3 linked regions of the Alligator mississippiensis genome follow. The protein of the gene in region 2 interacts with the protein of the main gene of each other region in a biochemical or structural test. Links are inferred from orthologs where the notes say so. Each region holds a gene or a part of one and is shown on either strand. Other genes may lie near its edges.

What was found. The genes of interacting proteins can lie anywhere in the genome.
Region 1: the proteins of NR2F1 (region 2) and BCL11B form a complex in vitro, tested with the Homo sapiens proteins (2 studies listed by BioGRID). The link is inferred for Alligator mississippiensis from reciprocal best matches to the Homo sapiens genes NR2F1 and BCL11B.
Region 3: the proteins of NR2F1 (region 2) and AHR form a complex in vitro, tested with the Homo sapiens proteins (2 studies listed by BioGRID). The link is inferred for Alligator mississippiensis from reciprocal best matches to the Homo sapiens genes NR2F1 and AHR.

What each region holds. Positions count from the first base shown.
Region 1 is NC_081825.1:281,772,771-281,780,600, forward strand, and holds the start of BCL11B (B-cell lymphoma/leukemia 11B), read right to left. Parts: upstream 3,014-7,830; 5' UTR 2,052-3,013; coding exon 1,994-2,051; intron 1,401-1,993; exon of another isoform or gene 75-1,400; intron 1-74. UniProt on the Homo sapiens protein: Key regulator of both differentiation and survival of T-lymphocytes during thymocyte development in mammals.
Region 2 is NC_081826.1:240,947,529-240,954,541, forward strand, and holds the start of NR2F1 (COUP transcription factor 1), read right to left. Parts: upstream 3,012-7,013; 5' UTR 1,145-3,011; coding exon 700-1,144; intron 347-699; exon of another isoform or gene 263-346; intron 222-262; exon of another isoform or gene 1-221. UniProt on the Homo sapiens protein: Coup (chicken ovalbumin upstream promoter) transcription factor binds to the ovalbumin promoter and, in conjunction with another protein (S300-II) stimulates initiation of transcription. Binds to both direct repeats and palindromes of the 5'-AGGTCA-3' motif.
Region 3 is NC_081828.1:163,341,847-163,349,214, reverse strand, and holds the start of AHR (aryl hydrocarbon receptor), read left to right. Parts: upstream 1-4,355; 5' UTR 4,356-4,562; coding exon 4,563-4,618; intron 4,619-7,368. UniProt on the Homo sapiens protein: Ligand-activated transcription factor that enables cells to adapt to changing conditions by sensing compounds from the environment, diet, microbiome and cellular metabolism, and which plays important roles in development, immunity and cancer.

The sequences.
Region 1 (7,830 bases), on a different chromosome or scaffold from region 2:
GTGTGCTAAAATGCCTGTATTTCCTGCTCCCCTCCTCCCCCCGGACTACTCCCACCCCCTCCTTCAATTGATACCTTTATTTTTTTCTGCCACTGTTCAGTATGCATCCTGATTTCTCCTCCAGCTTCCTCAGGATGGAGAGATAGAGAAACACAAGAAGGGAGGGGGGAAATTGCATGCAGCTTTGCCTTCCATTCCTCCCCTCCAAACCCATTGTGCACGCAGCTCCTTGGACCCCCGAGTTCACTGTTCCTCTGCCTCATTATTTACTTCCAAGTAAGGCGATCAGGAAACGAGATCCAATGCAAGAATGAACCTACCTGGCTCCCCTCTCTCCCAAAAATGTTTCGCCCTTCTCAATACATTCAAATGTGTGCAACAAACACACACCCGCAAGCCCCTTTCCAAACCAAATCTCTTCTTGCAAACGAGACACGAAATTAGTGGGAGACATTGCCTTAGACGGTGCAGATGTTTTTTTAAAAAATCAACCAGAAAAAAGGAAAACGCAATTTCCAAACCGGCTGGGTTTTCTTTTTTTTAAAAAAAAAAATGCAATTAACAAAGAGGTTTTGGGGAAGTATCCACCTTTTTAAAGGGGAGGCAAATCTGGTTACAAAATAGCACTGAATGAAAAAACACCGCCCCCCTCCCCCCCGAAAGGTGCCAAATGCATCTTCATTTGTGTTGCACCAGCTGATGGTTGGGGGTGGGGGGAAAGGGGGTAAAAAGATAAAGTAACCAGAGAAGCAAAAATAAAATAAAAAAGAAAAATAGAAATGGCAGAACCCGGACGCCACCCAAAATATCTAACGGCAGGGGAAAAAAAAGAAACAGATCACCATCACCATCCTCCTCCTCATCATCCTCTTTCCAACAAATTCTTACAAAACCCAGTTTTCTCCGCGGGAACAAAGGAGGAGAGATCGCAACCACCAAATACTCCTGGCAGATGGCTTCTCTTCTCGCCTGTCCAGGGGAGGGAGGCTCGGGATATATTTATTTATTTATTTAAATTCTTTAAAATCGAACATAAATATTCGGATTCGCGGCGGCTCCGAGGCTCAGCCCCGGCTCGCGCCGCGCGCCCCGCTCCTCACAGCCAACTTCGGGACCTCTCCGCCCGGGGCAGGGGCTCTGCTCGGGGCATCCTGCCACTTGGGTTGGATTTGTTTTTTGCCCCCTCTTTACCTCTGAAGCTGAGGGGGCTGGGGGGGGGGAGTGCTTGCCACCTTCGTGGCACCTAAAGGACGGCTGGATGGCTTTGCATTGCACTCAGATGGGTGCCAGGCGAAAGAAGGGAAATAAAGGGCTAAAAATTAGAAGAATCAGGGATGGGGGGGGAAGGTGCCTGCTCTGCACGCGTGCACACACGCATCTACACACACGCGCGCGCGTGCACACACACGCAGTGACCTGTCCCTCGGACCCAGCATCTCCCCCAAGGTTTTTTCCCTGCTCCCCCCCCCCCCCGGTTCCGGTGGGAGCTTTGGCGGAGCGCAGCCTCCCCCCGCCTCCTATCCCATCCCATCCCATCCCGGGCCGGCTCTCCGGGCTCCCCCGCCCCCCGGCGCTGTGCTCCCCACCCACCACTCGCGCGGGGCCGGCGGCGGCGGGCGCAGCGCGGGGCCCCGGGGCCGGCGGCACCTGCGCGCGGAGCGGCCACCTGCAGCCCCGGCCGCGTCCCGCCACCTCGGCCTGCCCCGCACGCCCGGACGGGCAGGGGCAGCCGCTCGCCAACTTTTCCCCGCGCTTGCTTCCCGCCCCGCCGCCGGCTCCCGGCTCGGCTCCGCTGCAAACTTTGCTTCCCCTGCCTCCCTCTCGTCTCCCACTCCTCTCCCTCTCCCCGGCTCCGGCTCCGGCTCCGTCTCCCCCCACCCCGCCGCGGCGCGCGCGCGCCCTCCCCCTCCATTCCCGGCCCCTCTCCCTGCCTGGCTCCCGCTCCGCGCTGCCCGCCCGGCCCCTGCCTCCGCGCCGGCTCCTGCAAACTTACGTGTGATAATCTCTCTTTGTGACAAGTGCTGCGGGTTCCCCTGCTTGCGACGGGACATTGCCCTGGCATTTACACTGGCATCGCCCGGAGAGCTGCACTGGGTTGGGGGGACGCGCGTGGGGGGCGGGGGAGCGGCCGATCCTCCTTCTCCTCCTCCTCTGGATGTGTCTGTCTTCTTCTCCTGCCTTCTCCGGGATGGATTTTTGCTGCTGCTGCTGCTTCTTCTTCAGAAAAAGAAAAAAAAAATGAAGACAAGCGGCCCCCTCTTTGTTGTGGCGGCGGCGGTGCACGGGCTGGGATTCCCCCTCAATTAAAAATCAGCATCACGAGGAAAGAAAGGGGGGAAAAAAAAGAAAAGGAAAGGGAAAAAAAAAAGCTCTTTCTGGTGCCTCGCGCTGTCCCTCACACGCGTTCTGCCTCTTTTTTTTGTTTTGTTTTGGTTTTTGGTTTTTTGTTTGCTCTCTCCTCCACCGCTCGCACTTCCAAATCTCTTCTTGAACTTAGGAGGCTTTGCACCGAGAGTGACACTTTTTTCGCTCTGTCTCTCTCTCGCTCTCTGTCTCCAGAGTGCTGGGCCAATGGGCAAGTGCACTTCTTCCAGCAGAAGGGCAAAAAAAAAGAAGAAAAAGTCTTAAAAAAAAAAAAGAGAAAAAAACACAAAAAAAGTCGAGCTGGGGCTTGCCCACGCGCACCCCAGAAAAATGCCAAAAAAAAAATATTTTTTTTGTCAGAAATGGACCCTTGGCTGGGCTATTTTGTTAAAGGGGCAGCAGGACTGTGTCTCCTCTTTCCCAGTTCAGGTAGCACTGCTTTGCCCTAGTGCTTTTGCATTGCCAGTGCCTCTGCACCACTTGGCACTCACTGCTCCCCTCGCCTGGCACTGGGACTGGAAGGAAGGAAGCCCCTAGTGCAGCTGGGCTGGTGCTGGCTATTACTATTATATATTGCAATGTGAAGATGGCGGAGTCCTGGTTCTCTGGGAGCGCTCTGTCTCTCTATGGCTGGGGCTGCCTCTGTACAATGGGATAAAATTCAAGTTCAAGTGCGGACGTGACGTTTAATCTGCACTAGAGACAAAAAAAAAAAAGACCCAGAGAGTAGGAGCACTGGGGGCGACTAGCGGTGGCTTTTTAACATTGTACCCTGCAAGAGAACAAGCAGCACACACACACACTCACACGCGGAGACACAAACTAAAGCACATGCCTGCGCGGGAGCAGCGCCGGGCTTTGTGCGCCGCTGCTGCCCCGGCCCTCGGGAGCGCCCGCAGACGCGGAGCCAGCGCGGGGACACGAGCCCCTGCCTCGCCCGGCTCTGCAGCCTCTGCTCCCATAGCTGGGGGGCGGGGGGGGGGTCGCCACCCTGGTGGGGGCTGGCTCCGGGCATGTGGATTTGGGTCCCTTCCTCACCCGAGCCCAGGCCCCGATGAGGTGCGGTGCGGGGGGACCCCGGCGGGAGGCCGCTCCTCCCGTGGCCCATCTTTCTCCTGCCCCCCTGCAAGCTCCGAGGCTTCTCCTGCTCCAGGCAGCGCGGCAGCCGCCGGGCATTTCTTCCCGACACTTTCCCAACAAGGCAGGAGCCGTGTGGGCTGAGGGGGGGGGTCGTCTCTCCCTGCGCGGGGCTGCAGGGGCCCCGCTTCGCCCTCTCGCCTTCCCCGAGCCGCGCGGGCGCCCGCCGGGCGAGCGGGGACCAGCCGGGGCCGTGCAGCTCCCTGGGGAACGAGCCCCTGCTTGTACTTGCCACATCCTCCTCTTTCCCGCGCAGGTGAGCGCGCTGCTCGCTTCAGGACTCCTGGAGCCCAACTTTTCCTCCCTGCCCCGTTGCACCGGCTTGCCTTTCCCCTCCTCCCGCGCTTTCAGCACCACGTCTGGACAGGGCGAGGGGCTGGGGGCTGGCAGGCAGCGGGAGCAAACCCGAGGGAGAGGCCGCCTCCGTGCGGGGGAAGGGGTCCCGCCCTCCTGCCATCTCCTCTCAGCCTGGCAGGAATTTGGGGGTGGCGGCAAGCGCCGGGGAGCCGGGGGCATGGAGGGGGGAGGGGGGCGCATCTCGCTGCCCCAAACTGCCCGGAGCAGAATTGGGCTGAACAGCAGCGCTCGCCGCCTCCTCTCGCAAACTGCGGTGCAAACCTGCCACTCGCAGCTGGGGCTGCTCCGGGCCGCAGGTCCTGTCCTGCAGCCCGGCGCGGACCCGCCCGGGGTGGGCACGGAGCCAGCCTGGCCGTGCCCCGCTCTGCCCCTCACAAAGAGCGGGCGAGGGAAAGGCGCGTCCCCCCCGGAGGCCGCTCGCGTCCTCCCCGGGGTCGCGGGGCTCACAAAGGCAGGCAGCGGCGCGCTCCGAGCAGCTGCCCGCAGCTGGGCGGAGAGGCAGCGCCCCGCTCCGCTCCGCGCGGCCATTGCCCGCAGGTTGGCTGGGGAGGGCAGGCGGCGCCAGGCCGGGGGCAGCTGGGGCTGGGGCCGCAGGGAGGGGGGCAGCTGCCTGCGGAGGAGCCCGCGGGGCCTGCCCCGGGGCCGGGGGAGATGGTGCCTCGGCATCTTCCTGCCAAGGGATCCTTCTCAAAGCTGCCCTCTCCCGCAGCTCCAGCCCGGGTTACCTAGAGCTCGAGAAGGCACCAGCCCCACCTGGTGTCAGCATGATGGATGCCACTGGGGTCAGCAGAGCCTTTCCAGGAATGCGGCTGGGAGACTTCCACCGCCAGGCAATGAAATGGCAATACAACCCAAACCAGCACCAACTGGCCCCCGGGCCGCACGCTCGGGGCAGGTGTCCGTAGCCCCCTCCTCCCGCCGTCCTCCTCGGCCCCTTCCCACGAGAGTTTCTTTCTTTATTCCCTCTCGCCCGCTCCCCTCCCCTCGCACTCTGCCGGCCTGGCGAGCAGTTCGCGTGTGCGCCACGTGTGTCTCGGCCCGCGCGGGAAGCCGGGGCTGAAGGTGTCCTTGCCGGCCAGGGGAGCGGGGCTGGGGCAGAGTCCAGCCTGCCGCGCCCGCTTCCAGAGCAGGGCAGGACGTTCAGCAGCAAACCTTATCAGGCAGCTTCCTGGCCATCCTCTGTTGATTCACTCCTGTCTTAACAGTGGGCATCAAATCAAAGATAAGGGCACATCAATGATTGACCACGCCGGCCTCCTTCGTCCCCTCCAGTGGCAGCGCCTGGGGGGACGCGGGCTGAGGTGCGTGCACTCCTCGTGTCAGAGCCCAGGGCTCTAACACAGAGGTCTTTTTTAAAGCCTCGCTTCCTCCTCCTGCTCCTAAAATGTATCCCAATAGGGGGAAAAATATTCCAAAGTGATTTCTCAGTCTCCTCTTTCCTCCCCTGTCTGGCACTTGTGATCATTAGCACTGAAAGCTGTTAATGTCTTGTCTCACAGCTCCCCCTTTAGTCTCTTTGCTTTCCCTGTCTCGCGTTCAAAGACAGATCAATAGCAGGCTCTTTCTAACCTTGACCTATCCCTCGACCCCGCCTCCATCTGCAGCTGGCCCACTGTTTTGTTTTCCCACTCTGTCGATATCCAAGTCCCACTCGGTGACAGCAGACAAACAAGAGGGGCTTGCTGCTCCCAGGGGGCTCGCGGGCCTGGCTCTGCCCACCCCTCCCCCAGGCCGCCAGCCACAATAGCGCGCTGGCCGGAGCATTTCTGTCCCACTGATTATTGCACTGCTTTGTCCAAGTCCCTTTTCTCCCTCTCCCCTTCGCATCATCCGACTGTAAGAAAAGCGGGCCGTGCAAGTTCCACCTTGTGATCAGATGAGAAAGGCGAGCACCACACGCACTCGCCTCCACCCTGCTTTGACACCTACCGAAACACGCCTCCTGCCCCAAAGCCAGGAGAGGATTCTTCATCCTTCGAACAACCCAACTGAAAAGGACCGGGGGAAAAACAACAAAACCAAGAGCCTTTGAAAAGGCGATTAATTGTAAATTAGCAGCAATGCAAAAATGTGGTGCCAACTTGCCGATCATATTTTTTCCAACCTGGATTTTAACGAGTCAAAGTCTCACCCCAGCCTATGCTCCTTGCTATCAGGAACAAGAAGCTAATGCAGCGTTAAATGTGCCATTTCATTCTATATACAACAAGGCGCGCTGAATAAAGAGCAGATATTTTAGCTTCTGGGATTCATTTTTTTTCTTTCTGCTTTTTAATTATATGATGTCTAAGTGCGGAAATTTGGCATGGCTAGTAATAGCAGGAACTTCGAGAGAGACAGAGAGAGAGAGAGAAAAAAAAACTCCCAATACTCTGGCAGGGTTGCAATCCTATACAATAGGACTGATCTGTCACCTGGCCCCATTTGGGCACATTTCCACCTTCCCCCCATTTAGCCACAGAAGTTTTCAGGACAATAAACACTTCCGTCCCAGATCCTGTCTGTTGCGACTTCGGTTGCTGCGCAGTCTTTGCTCCGAAAGCTCGAGCTAAGTGAGAAGCAAATAGGTTTGGAGAAGAGATGTAGGCGCGCGTGTGTGCGTGCGGGTGTGCGCGTGTGCGCGTGTGAACAGCCTTGGCTCAGACCAGCCGGCTCGTTCCATATTCCTGGGGAATCTTTGCACGTTGTTTGTGGAAATCAGAACAAACACAGGGCATTGATCCGATCGCCTTACTTACCCGCTCCACCTTGCGAGGAGATACAGAAACACAGGATCTAACCAGATCATATTTACATACATATTAATAAAGCTCCCGAGGTGGCAGTTGTGCCTTCACATTCAGCGCAAGGATTTCTGTGAGTTCTCATTTCAGACCCATAAAAAAAAGAGAAAAAGAGGTCTTTGGGGCTTCCTGGAATATTTTTTTTTCCTGCGATGATTTCATATAATTTCTCAAAATTACATAGTTAAGTGGCATCAAATTTCAGGGTGATATAATAACTCAAAATGTGTAAAAATTTTTTGCATCAAATCACTTAACTGCAGTAAACAGGGCTGCAAAACCTCAATCAGAGGAACTGTTTGGTGTGTTTCTTCAATTTATGGAGCACAACAAAATTGTTCTCGTTATCTGTTAAAATATATATAAATTGCACCATTTATTCCCCTAATTTCCTTCCTCCTGAACGTGGAAAACACAGGAATATTTCAAAGTGCAAGTCAATTCAAGTCTAAAGAGGATAATGCCTAGCCTCCCAGCCCTATTCCCACACCGCATGGGATGCAAAGATCCCTCTTATCTTTCTCTAGATTTGGTTTCCTTCCAGTTTGCTTAATTTTCTCTGTCTGTTGCTGACGTTTTTCGGGACTGGCTTTGGAAAGTAATATTCCAGCAACCTTCCCCTCTACAACCTCAGCTCATTTGGACTCTCCTGCCTTGTCCAGCTGAGCTCCTCGCTTTGATCATCTTTCCAAACGTGAAAAGCACTCCTTCAGTGACAGTCCAAATACGGGGGCCTGATCCTGCCCTCCCTCATCCCAGTTGCACAAAATCCCAACCAAAAAAATGCAAGCACAAAAGCACACATCAGCTAGGGAAACAGAAGGGAGTGCTGGGAGCGTGAGTGAGGCAGGCTCACTCACTGCCCCTCTGCAGGGGGCTGGAAGAGAAGCGAGCCTATTTAAGTTACACAGCCTTCCTGAAGCCCCGACTTCGGCTCCCCTCGTTAGTCCTTCTCTGTGCTGAAGTCACTGCCAAAACTTCCATTGACGTCAGTGGTAGCAGGATAGGGCCCTATAACTTGGAAGCATCTCTTTCTGTTCCTTTCCTTAGAGTCAGTTTTGTATTTTCCCTCCCCTCCCCTCCCCCTCCCCCTTACCCCCTTCGCAACAACTTCCCAGGGAAAAAAGAAATCTGGGACAAGCTGCAGGGTGTGTGTGCGTGCCTATAGGGAGCACACTTCATCAGCATC
Region 2 (7,013 bases):
AATTGTCATTTGTATGCAGTATTTAAGGAGAGGGTGGAGTTTGATGGAGAAATAAAACGAGCAGCATGCTGGAGGATGACAGAGCTAGGAAAGCACGGTTCAGTCACAAACTTTCCTTTGAAAGCATGGAGTGAAAACAAGGCCAGATCTTGCAAGGAGCAGACTCCAACACAGTGGAAAGCACAAGGAAGCAGAGACACAGTAGCACATCCCCCCTCCCCTGTGTGGGGCTCCCCCCCCCCCGCCTTTCTTTCCTACTTACACGTCTTTCATCTTTCTTTCAGGAAAGATGATGCTGGAAATGGATCTACTGCGAAGTGTGGTGGTGGGGGGTTTAAAATTGTAACTAACAGGGGGAGAGGGTGGGGAAATGAATGGAAACACAGCTCGCAGAGAGGGATGCCCCCCCCCCTCCCCAGCCTCATGCCAACAATAGACCAAATCCCATCCGGAGAGCAGCGATCCCGGAGAAATAATACATATTTAGTGAGTGATCGTAATAATAAATTCTCATCACAATGAGGAGGGAAGGGAAGCATGTGGCGGTGGAGGGGGTTGGGGGGGAGAGGAGGAGGAGGAGGAGGAGGAGGGCAGCAGCACAAACCCAAAGCCTGGGTGCAAAGCTTGGAGCTGGGCTGCAGGTCTAGAGACACGAGAGATCTAGAGAGAGCGAGAGTAGAATAGGGAAGAAATATTCACCTTCCCGCCTCATGCCCACTTTGAGACACTTCTTGAGGCGGCAGTACTGGCACTGGTTGCGGTGGTGCTGGTCGATGGGACAGTTCCTGTTGGCCCGACATGTGTAAGTTAAGTTCCTGCGGACGCTCCTCTTGAAGAAACTTTTGCAGCCCTCGCAGGTGAATTGCCCGTAGTGTTTGCCGCTGGATTTGTCCCCGCAAACCACGCACTCGATGTGCTGCTGGCTCTGGCCCGAGCCCTGCTGGCCCTGGCCCTTGTCCCCGGCCGTGCCCGGGGTGGACGGGGGGCCGGGCTGGCTGGGGGTCTGGGGGGTGTGCGGGGCCGCGGAGGCCGCTTGCTGCTGCTGCTGCTCCCGGGCCGGCTGAGCTGCAGGGTTGGGGCCGCTCGGGTTGCCCCCGGCCACGTCTTCCTGCGGATCTCGCCAGCTGCTAACTACCATTGCCATATCTCGGGCCCAAAAAGTGCTGGGGAGCGGAGCTTCTCGCCGAGGGCTGCCTGGGAGAGGAGGGGGGAGGGGGGAGGTGGGTGGCTCGGGTTTGGGGGAGAGACGAGAGAGAAGCAATCGTGGCTGCGGCTGCCTCTGCTCCAGCGCCTGCTGCTGCTGCTCCTGCTGCTCCTGCTGCCCTTGTGCTGCTGCTGCTGCTGTTTCTTGGGGCTGGAGCCGGCGCTGCCGTTTTCTTGATTTTTGCAGCCCCCCTCCTCTGGCTCTCCCTCTCTCTCCCTCTCTCTCTGCCTGGGTTTTGCGGGGGGAGGGGGGAAAAGCAGGGCTTCTGGGGGTCCCCCCCTCTTTTCCCTGGCAATAGCTAGAAAGCGAGACCGAGATTTGCTCCTTTCCCCCCCCCCTCCACTTTCAAGTTGCAAAATCAGACACGGCAAACCAGGCGGCTAGGAGAGGCATTCAGGAGAGTCACACTGGGGAGGTAATCGCCGGACACACACACACAGAGCACGCACCAGCCACACACAGTCCGAGCGCTAGGAGTGCAAAGGATGTGCAGACATAGAGGAAGCAGGAGGAGGAGGAGGAGGAGAAGGAGGAGGAGGAGGTCGGGCTGCCGCCGCCGCCGCCGCTCGCTGCTCGCTGCCGGGGCCCGGCCGGTCCTGGTGCCGCTGGAGCTCCCCCCCGCTGCCGCCGCCGCTGCCGGCGCTTTTGGGGGCGCGGGGCTGGGAGAGAGGAGAAAGCTCCTGGCGATCAAGGGATGAGAGTGTCCGGGGGCCAGGTCCAGGGCACAACGCAGTCAGCCATTCAGGAAACCAGTCTTGGGAAGCGCGAGCGAGGAGGGCTCGGAGATTAGACAGTTTGATTTTGTGTTGTTGTTGCTGCTCTTGTGGCCGGTCGTTTCTCTCCCTCTCTGGGTCTTTTCGGAAAAGACGAAGAATGACACAAAAAGCACTGGAGGTGACTAATTCGCAGAGGAGCCGGATTCACGGCGAAGAGTCGAGCAAAAAAAAAAAAAAAAAGAAGCAGCTGAATAATAATGACACCCGCAGAAAAAAGAGAGATCCAAAGTAGGTCGAATAAATAAATCCTCTTCTTTTTCCTCTTTCTCGTCCCTTCCTTCTGCTCCGCTCACAACACCCGGTGCCGGTTCCCAAAGCCACTGGAGATCGCCCCCCCCCCAAAAGGTTCTTGTTTGATTAAATAAGAATAAGAATCATTAAAAAAAAAAAGTATTTCAGAGACAAAAACTCATCAGGCAGAAGCAAAACCCACCCCCGAAATAAAAAAAAATAGACAATAATGGTAAAAAAGAAAAGAAAAGAATAATAATACTGGCATGAAGAGGTGAACGCGTTCTCTCTCTCTCTCTCTGGGATTTTTTTCCCCCCCTGTCTCTCTCTCTTTTTTTTTTTTTTTTAGTTTCACCTCTCTTCTGCAGGAATGAAGCGAAAGACACTGGGAGGAAGGGTGGAAAAAAGAAGAAAAGGAAGGAGAAGAGGGAGAAGAGGGAGAGGAAGAAAAAAACAACTAATAGAATATGCAAGAAAGGAGGGAGAGAGAGAGAGAGAGAGAGAGAGAGAGAGAGAGGAAGAGAGAGAGGGGGAGAGAGAGAGAGAGAGAGAGACCCAAAAAATGAATGCGTTTAAACGGGAAGCCTAGCAGAGCAATGTTTCCGAAAGGGGGATCTGCGCGAATGTCTGTATATAGTGAACTTTGACACTACTATTGAAACTGACACGTTTCTATGGAGATCGCTGCCTTATATGGAGCTCATGTCAAGGAGCCAAGAGAGGGGCTGCTGGCAACTGATAATCAAAGGCGACTGACTGGTCAGAGCCCTGAATTGGGGGGAGAGAAAATGGGAGGCTAAGGTTAGCCAAGCCTCCTTCACTCCATTGGTTAAGAGCCCCCCCCCCTTTTTTTTTTTTATTCTCTGCTACCTACTGCCTGGGATGGGGAGGGGAGGGGAGGGAGGGAGGGAGGGAGGGGGATTCTTCTGACAAGCACAATTTACATTGAGATCGCCCGGCGCTGCTATTTACTTTGAGACCTGATTAGTATGGGTCGCCTATGGTCACACACACGCACACCCCTCCGAAGGGGGTGCATTGCGATAGAGGGAAAGGGGAACAGAATTATTTTGGCTCAGTCTGAAAAGTTTGTGTGTGTGTGTGTGTGTGTGTGTGTGGAGGGGGTGTGTGTGGGGGGGGGTCACGATTTATTTATTTATTTATTTATTTATTACTTTTTCAGATGGGATGCCCGCGCCCGGCTCGCAGCGGGAGCCCCCGGCCCCGGGGCTCGCGGGTTGGCAAGGGGGGCAGGCAGGCGCCCGGGGCGGACAGACGTTACTTAGAGCGGGGTAGATCCTAGTCCAACTTTGCGGCTCGCTCCCATTCAGCGCCTTGGAGCCTCTCCCTCCTTTTCTAGTTGCCATGAGGATCCACCGCCCCCACCGGGATTCACTGGGTCCTGGAAGGGGATCAACCGCGCCCCCCCAAAGTCCCCCTCCTAGTACCACGCTCCCCCCGCTCCCAGCCTCCCCCATCCCCCCACTTGGCAGACTGAGGTTTTGTGGATGAGCCCCCCCCGCCTGCAGCGGCCCCTTGTCCTCCCCCCCCCCCCGCTCTTGGCACAGCCGGCGGCGCTCCAGCAATTATTCATAAAACAAAAGTAAGTTCCCGTTTTGTTGTCTGGGAAGATCAAGGCTGGCGGAGGAGAGTCCCAGCCGGAGCCGGAGCCGGAGCCGGAGCCGAAGCCGCATCCTTCCCGTGCGGGCTGGAGCGCGCGGGCTAGCCAAGCCGGGCCGGGCCGGGCCGGGCCGGGGGGGGGCAGGGAGCCAGGCTCCATGCCTCCCTCCTACCCGCCGCACTGCTGAATCGTGGATCCGGCTGCCATCTAGCGGACAGGAGCCCAGACGCGAGCTCCCCCTTCCTCCTCCAAGCACAAAGCCGGAGCTTTCTCCAGAGCAGCAGGAAGCCACCAAATCTTTTTTTACAGCTCTGCCCCCACTCCCTTATTTTTTTTAATAAAGCCACTGCACTGGGGAGGGGGGCGCAGACCCTGCTTTTTAATAATAACTCTACCAGCGTCTCTTCCTCCCCCCCTGCAGCCTCCTTGCCTGCACCCTCCCAGGGTGTGAGAGCTTTCCCATTCGCCTCGGGTCGAATGGCTGTGCCTGACAAAGAGGAAACCAACTGCAAGAAGTGCTCTTAGCTCCTCGAAAAGTTTCAAATCCGGGTGGCAGCCAAGCCACATCTGCGGGGGGAGGAGGGGGGATATTAACAGAAGTTGGATTATTCCCCCCCTCCCTCCGCGAAAGCTGCTTCTTTCACTTAAAAAAAGGAGAGAAAAGAAACCCCAACTTTGCTGTGCACTGCTACTGATTTGATTTCCCTGTCTAGTTCCCAAATATGACAGGAGGGGAAAGGGGGGGGGGGGTCCCGGCTCATTTCTAAGATCAGAATAAACGGGTTATTTTGTCCTGAAATAATGAAGAGATTTTCAATGAGTCCCCCTGGCCAAGCCGCCCCTATTGTATATTGCATTGATAAAAAGGATGTTATTGACTATGCAACAGTGGGCTCTTTTCCTCTCTCTCCCTCTTTCCAAATAAACTCTCGCTCCTGTCTCCTGGTCAGTGAGAAGGTGAAACGAATAAGATTAAATCAGACAAAAAAAGCAAGCCCTGTATGTATATCATCTAGATTTTACTCCCCAGACTGTGAAGAGACAGGGAGTAAAAGAGGCAGAGCAAGACACAGAGAGTGAGGGAGAGAGAGAGAGAGGCAGAGAGACAGAGAGAGCCTGGGAGAAGGTGGACGGACCCAGCAGCTTGCGCCCTGCTCCTCCTTGGAAAGGTTTCCTCGGAGCCTGGATCGCTGCAGTTGGCACCCAGAAACCCGGCCAAGCCAGGCTACCCCAGGCAAGTACTGCTTTCTCTATTCCGTGTTTCTAAGGGGGTTAACTTGTGTCTACATTGAGTTGGAAGCCCACTGTGATGCAGTTCCAGGCGAGCTGCACTTTGCAAGGATAACTTTTTTTCCTCCCCCCTCCTAACATCTAGCCTGCTTTTCCGAGCCTCTTTCAGCACTGCCTCCCGTTAGCCCTCTAGTTCAGGCATATTACAGCTGACGGCACGGTTAGAGAGGGAGATATTTATTGCCTCCAGTTTGTAAGTATTTTCTTAGAAGGCATTTTCACCGCAGATCCAGATCCGTGCGTGAGTATTTGTGTACTCGCGCACGCACCCGCACCTCGTTCAGACAACAGATGTGTGTTTACCTATGTGTGTCTGCGCCAATATCATAGACACAACTCAGGCACATGGATTTCTTCCACGTAATTACGGAATTGAACTTATACTTCTAATAATGATGCCTGGGAAGACGGGGAAGCATGCTAATGCTCTTGTCTTTCACCTGCTCTGTTATTTGATCACCTAATGAAAAGATCGATGGCAGCCTGTTTATCTGGGTGATAGTGTCAACAGATTAAAGGGACAGCAATCAGAGTCCTCTGCACTGAATACACTACAATCAGAAGAAAGCCCCAAACACCTCCAATTGGTCTATTTCAAAGGTAGATTTTTTTCCCCCACTGTGGTGGCGATGTTAGGGATGATATTCATTTGCTGAATGGCATGGGGGGGGGGGATGTGGGAAGCATCAGTTAAATAGGTATTTAAATAGCAGTTCCTTTAAGGAAGGCTGAAACCTGCGTGAGTGCTGTCTTTATCTCTGAAAGAAATCGCATCTTCTCCGAGCCGTGGGGAAGTGGAAGTCTGGGGGAAGAGGAAAGGGCTGAGTCAAGGGCACCCTAGCCATGCAAGTCAAGCAGCCGTCCAGGTCCAAACAAGGTTCAGTTGGCAAAAGGTATTTCCCTGTCCCGACAAATTACGAGAATCCTTAAAAATGATTTCAAGCTCAGGTTCCATTCGGGGAGCTTTTATTGTTATTTAACCTGCCCTGTGCCATGGATCTGACACGGCCAGAACAGCCCAGGAGAGCAGCAACGCAATTCAGGGGCTCTCTCCAGCTTCATTTCCTTTGGAGCAGCCTGTGTCCCTTAACCGAGCACAGGTTGGGATCGCGGAAGCTTTGCTGGGTTTTATTTGATTTCATTTCTGGGAAAGGCAAGCAGGAACTCCGACTCGCTCTCTCCCCTTCGCTTGTCCCTTCCGGAAAGAAATGTTCATCCTAGAGATCAGTGGGCATTTTGGCACAACTTTTAAAAAGCTATTTCAGGGGCATCGGTAGAGAACACAATTGACCGGGTTTGTGGGTTTTTTTTTAATAGCCTGGGTGCAGGAGAATGTAACAAAAAATAAGCTAGGGCTGAGTTCTGGAGACATCTTTATTCCGGAGATGTCTTAGGCATCTACTTCACCTGCTAAGCCTTGCAAAGAAATAAATGTACGCTCCCCTACATACATATCTGCCTCCTGGGGGGACAATTAAATACATATAACGCTATCGTGTTGCCCGACGTGAAAAGAGATTTCCTTTTACCTAGGGGTTGCATTTTCAAGCCCTGACCAAGCCCTGGTCTGACAAGGAAATGCACTGCGAAGGTAGAGCTAGAAAATTTCCTGGCATTTTGAAAACCCCTGTAGGAAGCGCAGAGCCCCCCCAGGGTGCCCCAGGGCCGGATTCCCGGAGCTACTCGGCCCACGAATCAATTAGTACCTCTCGAAAACTATTGACAGGCCATGTCTGCCATTGTCTGATATACGATCAGCCAGTTCATAGTCACGGTGACATTTCTTTTCCAGCATTTCCCGTACTTGGCCGCTTTGCAAATTTAATTATACTGTAAACATTTCTATTTCTCCCTCCTCTCCCAGGGCCAGGTTGCCCTTTGCTACAACCTT
Region 3 (7,368 bases), on a different chromosome or scaffold from region 2:
AGCACATGAAATGCTAGTCACACACTGTCAACTTCACAAAAATCAAGGTCCTTTACTAACCCACCCCAAGCCAACCCAGGTGCTCCTCCACATATTACAATTAGGGGGTAGTTTTGGGAGAATCTTGAGCATTTCCCCTATGTGGCGTACCTACCTGCAGCAGGGATGCTGCCACGAGATGAGACTCACCTCCAGCGCCAGAGCAGAGGGAAAAGCAATGGCCGCCAAATGCCGCTGAAGACCAAAGGTGCTGCGGTGTGAACATTTCCACAAGAGGAAAAGCATAGGTGGCACAGGGGCAACAGGAAAAGCAGCAGCAGCAGAATGCCACTGAGGACCAAAAGCACCTAAACACACATTCCAGCGTGGGCATGCTTTATGGACTCTTGCTGCCAATGATTCACTGGCCTTCCGAGAGAGGGATAAAATCCATACCAGCCAATGTCCAGGGAGGACCAGAAGTGAGGCCTCCTGAGAGCCAGGAGCAGCAAGAAGTGAATGGATGCCCCGGTAGGGGCCAGTGATGGCAAACCCAAGAGTTGGGGTGCCCAGCTAAGGCTGGCTCAGAGGAGCCAGGATACATACCTCTCATGAAGCCATAGTTCCCAGACAATGCTGATAGAGACTGGGACAGCAGCAAGCCTCCGGAGAGAGGAAAAGAAGGATATTAAAAGCTGTAAGGAATGCCTGGGGAGGGAGTGAGCCCTCAGGGAAGGCACCCCGGGGTATATGCAGCGACAAGTCAGGCTGACGTGACACCTTGACAAGGACAGTAAGCCATCTGAACTGGGACTGAAATTAAACAGGGGCTAATGCCTAGCCATGGCTGACAGTGAGTTAGCCTCGGCCAAGACCTAACATCATCTGTGGTTGGCGTAAGGAAGGGTGTAGGGGAGGTGGAGGCCCAAGACAAAGACCTGTGCGAGAGACCTAAGAGGGAACCAGGAGAGGCAGGACTTCAGAACTTCCTCCCAGCAATAATCTTTACAATCAAGTTGTGGCAGGCGAGAACCCATGGGGACCTTAAGGACTCCCATTGGAAAGCAAGCTGCTGACCCACAAGGGGACAGCAGCACTCAATTGCCCCGAAAAGTCAAAATGCTCAAGTAAATGCCATGGTAAACTACACCACCTTTTCCAAAAAAGTAAATATAGATGACAGTATTCAGCACCAGATAAAATCTGCCAGTGCTACCTTTTGGATGTCTCCAGAACCATGTATTCAGGACCCAAACTAAACTTCTCATCTACCAAGGTGTTGTCATCCTTACCATGTTGTATGGGTGTGAACCTTGGATGACATATCAGAACCACCTGAAAGCTTTGGAATATTGGCATCAGCAATGCCTTAGGACAGTGGTTCCCAACCTTTTTTTCCTGTAGACTGGCACAGGAGCAGGACAGGGCACATGGAGCCGGCTGCCTCCTTCCCGGGGCTGCCCCAGCCCCCAGCTTTAACTCTGTTCACCTTGGAAGCTGCTCACTCGGGCAGAAAGATTGGGGTCTGAGCAAGGGGCTTGTGCTACAACCCAGCAACCAACCCTTCGCAGCCCAATGGTTGGGAATCTCTGCCTTGGGAAAATACCCACTATTAACTGGAAGGACAGAAGAACAAACACCAGCATTCTGGCTCAAGAAATACCACCAGCATTGAAGCCATGTTTATAGGTCCTTTGGACAGGACATGTTATCAGGATGCCTGACAACCAGCTCCCAAAACAGTTCCTATACTCCCAACGCACCAATGGTCACCAGTCCAGAGGTGGGCAAAAGAAAAGCTTCAATGACACCTTGAAAGCCAATCTAAGGAAGTATATTAACATCTATATGTGGGAGATTCAAGCACTGAATCATCTCCAATAGCACCATGATGTGCAACAAGGCATTAATCATTTTGAGCAAATTAACATCACTATGGCGGCAGATAGACAAGAGAGAGAAAAGAAGCTGTGACCTGACATCTCTAGTATCTACTGCTTTGCCTGGAACTATTTGCCATGTCTGCAGTCAAACATGCAGATCTTGGATTGGCCTCCTCAGTCACAGACTCATTGATGACTTTGCTATTTACTGGAAGGCTGTCATCCTCATATTGAAGACTGTCACTGCCAATTGACCCATGTTTTGGTTGTTTGAAATAGAGGGCACTTAGATGTGCAGTGGGGCTGGTTCAACACACAGTAATTAATCCTGTAATTACTGCACTCCAGCAGACCCCAGTGTCACATGCATCAGTGTCCCCACACTGAAAAATAGCAGCAGGGGCACCTTAACTAAAGTTTGCTCAATGAGCTTTAGTTAAAGAGCCCCTGCTGCCACTTTTTAAGTGCAGGGACGCTGATACACATGATGCTCCAGGCATTTTAATCAGACCAACTCAGAGCTGCTCTAATTAAAACCTTCCACCCCACCCCATGCACACTCCTGGACCATGTCTATAAATGCCCAGAAAGTCCTCAACATGAACTAATTTTGAAGAAGCACTGGGCCACCTTTATGAAAGAGAACAGACATGCACTGTGAAAGAGTTAAAGGTGTTTACTGTCCATATATTATTAGTACTTGAACCCTGTCCATCTCAACAACAGAGTACGACTGACATGTGAGGGGTCTGGAAGTCAGGTGCAATTTGGGTGTATCGCTCAAAGAAAGGACTCAAAAAATTATGTTATATCTGATAACTACAAATAGTACTATTATAATGGATATGGCCATAGAGCAAGAATAAGGTACATATTTGTTTGTTCCTTCACCAACAGAAATCTACGCTGTCATACACCTGTTGTACTTTTAGTCTTTGAAAGAGATGAAGCAGGAGGTCATTTCTGCTCATTCCTTTCACTGAGTTTAGGTCTCCTGATTCTAGCTCTATGTTTCAATAAGGCTCTTGTACCCTTTTTGGCAGCCTCTTGGAGAACACTCTTTGCACTGGATTTCCTAAGCCAGTGTAGAAGTGGATGACTGAAAACTTGTCTTAGCCCTAGTTCCCCTCTTGGGATGCTTGTTTTTAGAAAGGAAACCAGAGCATAGTGTGATGTAGGGCTGGTGGGAGTGGTGAAGAGCATGAAACAAGTTGAGGTTGAAGGTAATTAAGTTTATGTGGTAGATGGAGCGTTCAGAGGACAGCAGTAGTTTTAGTCATGGGTGAAAGAGCAAAGGACGCTAGAGGTTGAAGAAGAGAAGTAAAGAGATCACAGTACATCTCCATAGTCATCTTCTTAAAAAACCTTGACAAGATCTCATGTGGAGGCAACAGGATGAAAAGGAGAGGTTATGAGTCAAGAGTGGAAGACTATAGGCAGCATCAATCACAGACTTGGTTCAAATTCAGAGAACCTATAGGTTTTCTTGTCCAGGAAAATGTCAAAATTAAGAGTGGCATAGTACTAGATGCTTTTCAATACATTCTGGAAAGCTTTATTTACTACTTCATTTATTTTTGAAACATAACAAATGTACTCCATCTACTTTGGAGTTTACTGCCATTTTCACTGTTAGTGTGTAGTAGCTTTGCGGTACACAGCACGGGGAAAGCTTGAGAGAGAAACAGTTGAGCCAGCCAAATAAGGCTTATAATTAGACAAGGTGTGGCCTGCTTTGATTACAAGTTCCTTGGTACCTTCTTTTACGTTTTCAGTCCAGGACCCAGCATACTCATCAAAGGTTGTACTGGGGTGTTCAGAGCACCAGCTCTGAGGAAGCCATCACGTTGCTGGAGAACAACTGTGCTAGTTTCTCTCAGTTGTGCCATCCCCTTCACTCTGCTCCATCCGGGCTGTCTGATTTGCCTAATCTCTGTACTGTTATTTCTCAGCGACTGCTTCTATGGTAATGCCGTACTCCACCTAACTACTCATCCCGGTATTGTTTTGAAGAGACCTAGAGTGAATATGCAAAGCCGTGCTGCTGGCTGGTGAAACACCTTTCCTTCGCCTGCTCCTGTGGTCTGCTCCGAGCCGTGTGCCAGGACCAAGGACACTGCCTCCGGCTTCCTTCGCCTTCACCCACAGCAGCCCTCTGGGCCGCGGGGAGGCCGGTCGGGGCCGAAACGAGAGGCACCTGAGCGGCCCGGGAGCGGAGGCAGGGCGGGGGAGCCCCGGGGCGAGGAGAAGCGAGGGTTGGGTGTGAGCGCCAGCACGTGCCCCCGGCCGGGGCGGCCCCAGGGCGGGGGCCGGCTCGTCCTACCCCCGGCTCTCACACCTTGCCCGCGGCCCGCAGCGTCCTCCCCAACATGGCGCCGCCGCCGCCCCGCGGGGGCCTCCTCAGCGGGGGCGGGGCAGCCGCCGGCGGGGCGGGGCGGGGCGAGACGAGACGAGGCGGCGGTTGCAGCGGGGGCTGCCGGCGGAGGGGAGTGCGGCGGGGCAGTGCCAGGCGGCGGCGGGGAGATCGCTCCCTCCCTCCGCGCGGGCAGGAGGCGCCGGGAAGCCCCGGCCGCCCCCGCACCTGCGCCCGGGGGAGCAGCCGCGGGTCACCTGCGCGCCCTCCTGGGGCCGCCGCGGCTCAGAGCGGGTCGGGCGCTGTGCGAGGCGGCGGCCGGGCCGGGCGGCGGCAGCAGCAGCAACATGAACCCCAATGTCACCTACGCCAGTCGGAAGCGGCGGAAGCCCGTGCAGAAGATGTAAGCCCGGGCGGGGTGGGGGCGGGTCTCGTCTCGGAGCAGGTGAGTCCGAGCAGCCCCCGGGCGGGGGGCGCTCGTCGCTCCGGCCGCCCAGCGGCGGCCCCCGGCGGGCGGGCGGGCGAGCGAGCCCGCGCTGCTGACCCGGGCGAGGCGGCGGCCGGCGGTGACCTAGTCTCAGGAGGCATCTAAGGTGACGGGCGGGCGGCCGCCTCGGGCCGGGATCGCTCCGCTCCGCCCCGCCCCGCCCCGCCGCACTCGGCGCGAGCCCGGGCCACGCCGGGGAGGCGGCAGTGCCCGGGGCTCGGGCCCGAGGGCGGATGGGCTCCCCTGCACCCCGGCGGGTTTCCAGAGTGACCCGCTTCCATGTGCCCCCCCACCCCGGTGCGTGCGGCGGGGCAGCTGCGCTTCGCCAGGCGCTGCCACGTCTGACCACGAGACACGTGTCGCTTGGCAGCTCCTGGGCCTGATCCCGACTGTGCCAGAGCCCCCGCCGCGTGGCGATCCTTGCTCCGCTGGGAATGGGCCTTAGGCTTGACTGGCCTGGCATCAGGGTTACTCGCATTTCTGTGACCGTCTATGCTAAGGGTTCCCCACCTTCTTTTGCACCAGGACCCGTTTGTAAACGCCGATTGGCAGTCCCGACCCGCTGCACCCGTGCCCCAGCCACTGGGGCAGGGTGGGCCCAAGCAGCCGCTCACAAGCTGGAAGTCTGCCAGCCTGCAAGAGCAGCCCCACAGTTTCCCATGTTTTTCTCCTATAAAGGAGAACGCATTTTTGACGTTTGTTTGCAGCCCTTTCATATACTTTTGCAGCCCACTTTTGGGTCACAACCCACAGGTTGAGAAATGCCGGTCTAGAGGAAGAAGATAGGTTTTGACATTTAGGTGTCAGGCATCTAGATGACTGGCTTTCGTAAAGAAGTAGAATACAAGACTGTAAGGAAGAAAAAGAGGACCCCCCCCCCCCCCCCCCATGATTCAAAGCCAAAGCAAGGTTCTTATTCTTGTTAATCGCGTGCATTTGTGCAGATAGCATTGCTGGAGTACATCTGCTACACTGAAATCCCTTCCAAAACGTAAGCAAAGGAGGAAAAGGAGTATTTGGGAGACTAGCTGAGTAAGCAGTATTCTTTTATTCAGCACAGCTTACAGCTCTTATTTTGGATTGCTGCTTTGGGCTAGGATGGCTGTTGCTATTACGGTTTGGGGGGGGAGGGGGTTGTTGTTTGCTTTTCAAAAGGAGATTTCTCTTTAAATGAAGGTGCTGTGTTATAGACTTTAAATAAAGAATTAAAAGCTCTGAAAAATTCTTGACTTGGGCAAACAGCAGCAGCCAGGCAGAAAGTGTGGCAATTATAGAAATAAATTGGGGGTGGTCATGCTTTGAGCTGGAGTCGGACTAGATAAACTTTTCTCCACATGTGAGTTGTGACCCAAAAATGGGTTGCAAGAATATACGAAATGGTTGCAAATAAACTTTACAATGGATCAACAAACTTTAAAAATGAATTCTCCTTTAAAGGAGAAAACTAGGAAACCGTGGCTTTTCCCCTGCAGGCTGGCAGAGTTCCATCCTGCATGGGGTTGCTTGGGACCCCCTTGTCCCAAACTGAGGGCCTGCGGGCGCGCAGTGGGTCGGGAGTGAGGGGCACTGGATTCGGACTTGCCATCAATGTTTACAAATGGGTCCCTTACAAAAAAGGTTGAGAACCACTGGACTAAGTGACCTCCTGAGGTCCCTTGCAACCCTAATGTTTTACGATTCTGTGATACTGTAAATAGGCCTATCTACTGTTGAGCTAAAATAGAGAGGTTGAGGTGTTAAAGCAATTCAGCAGTATAAATTTACATTTTATAAAGAAAATAGTAACTCTGTTGCTCTGCATGCAAGTGTATACACTCTACCACCTGTCCAGCTAATAACAACTTTCCAAGTCTATAATTTCTTTGGCTAAAACTTATTCAAAATTGTGGCAATATTTGCTTTTTCTGGTCAGAGAACTTCATGATTTGCTTACTAATAAATTCACTTTGATTACCAGATGTGCAAACTATTTTTATTTTGAGCTATTGATTGTTGTATAACAACTCACTGTTACTATTTTATATTTCTTATTTCAATTGGCTGAACTTCTCTTATTTGTTGAACCTGAAGAATATTTCCTTTTTTCATGAATGGAAACCAATCAACAACATTTTAGGGCTAAAGGGAAAATAAACATTTCTTCTTAAAGTAAATGTTTTTGGTTTGAATGTATCCTATATAGTTGGTGTTTTACCTACCTTATGGAGGAGGAAAAAAATGTTATTATATTACGTAGTGCCCTGTTTGATTGACAGACAACTTGTGCAACATAATTATTTTTTGTTCAGTGTATCATTTATTATCCTCCTCTTACTTACGCTGAATGGTCCTTGATTATTTTTTTATTTTTTTTTTTTGCATTTGTCCTCTTAGATGTTTCCTAAAGCTGCTCTACAGGCCCCAAAGGGTTTGATTTCTTCAATTAAAAACTAATCATAGTACATATCTTCGGGCAAAAAAGTTGAGTCAGTCAGAGAAGCAAACAGTTGTCAGAGCTGATTTAAGAGAGTTGGTTTTTGGTTACAGTCTATTGTTGGGTAGTAAAGCTTTTACATGTTTGTAAAAAGATTTGTGTGCTGTCTATGCCTTCCTAAAACCAAGGTGTCCCACCAGTGGGATGCAATTAGCCTAGCATCAACTTAATTCCGAATTCAGACCTCTTGAGA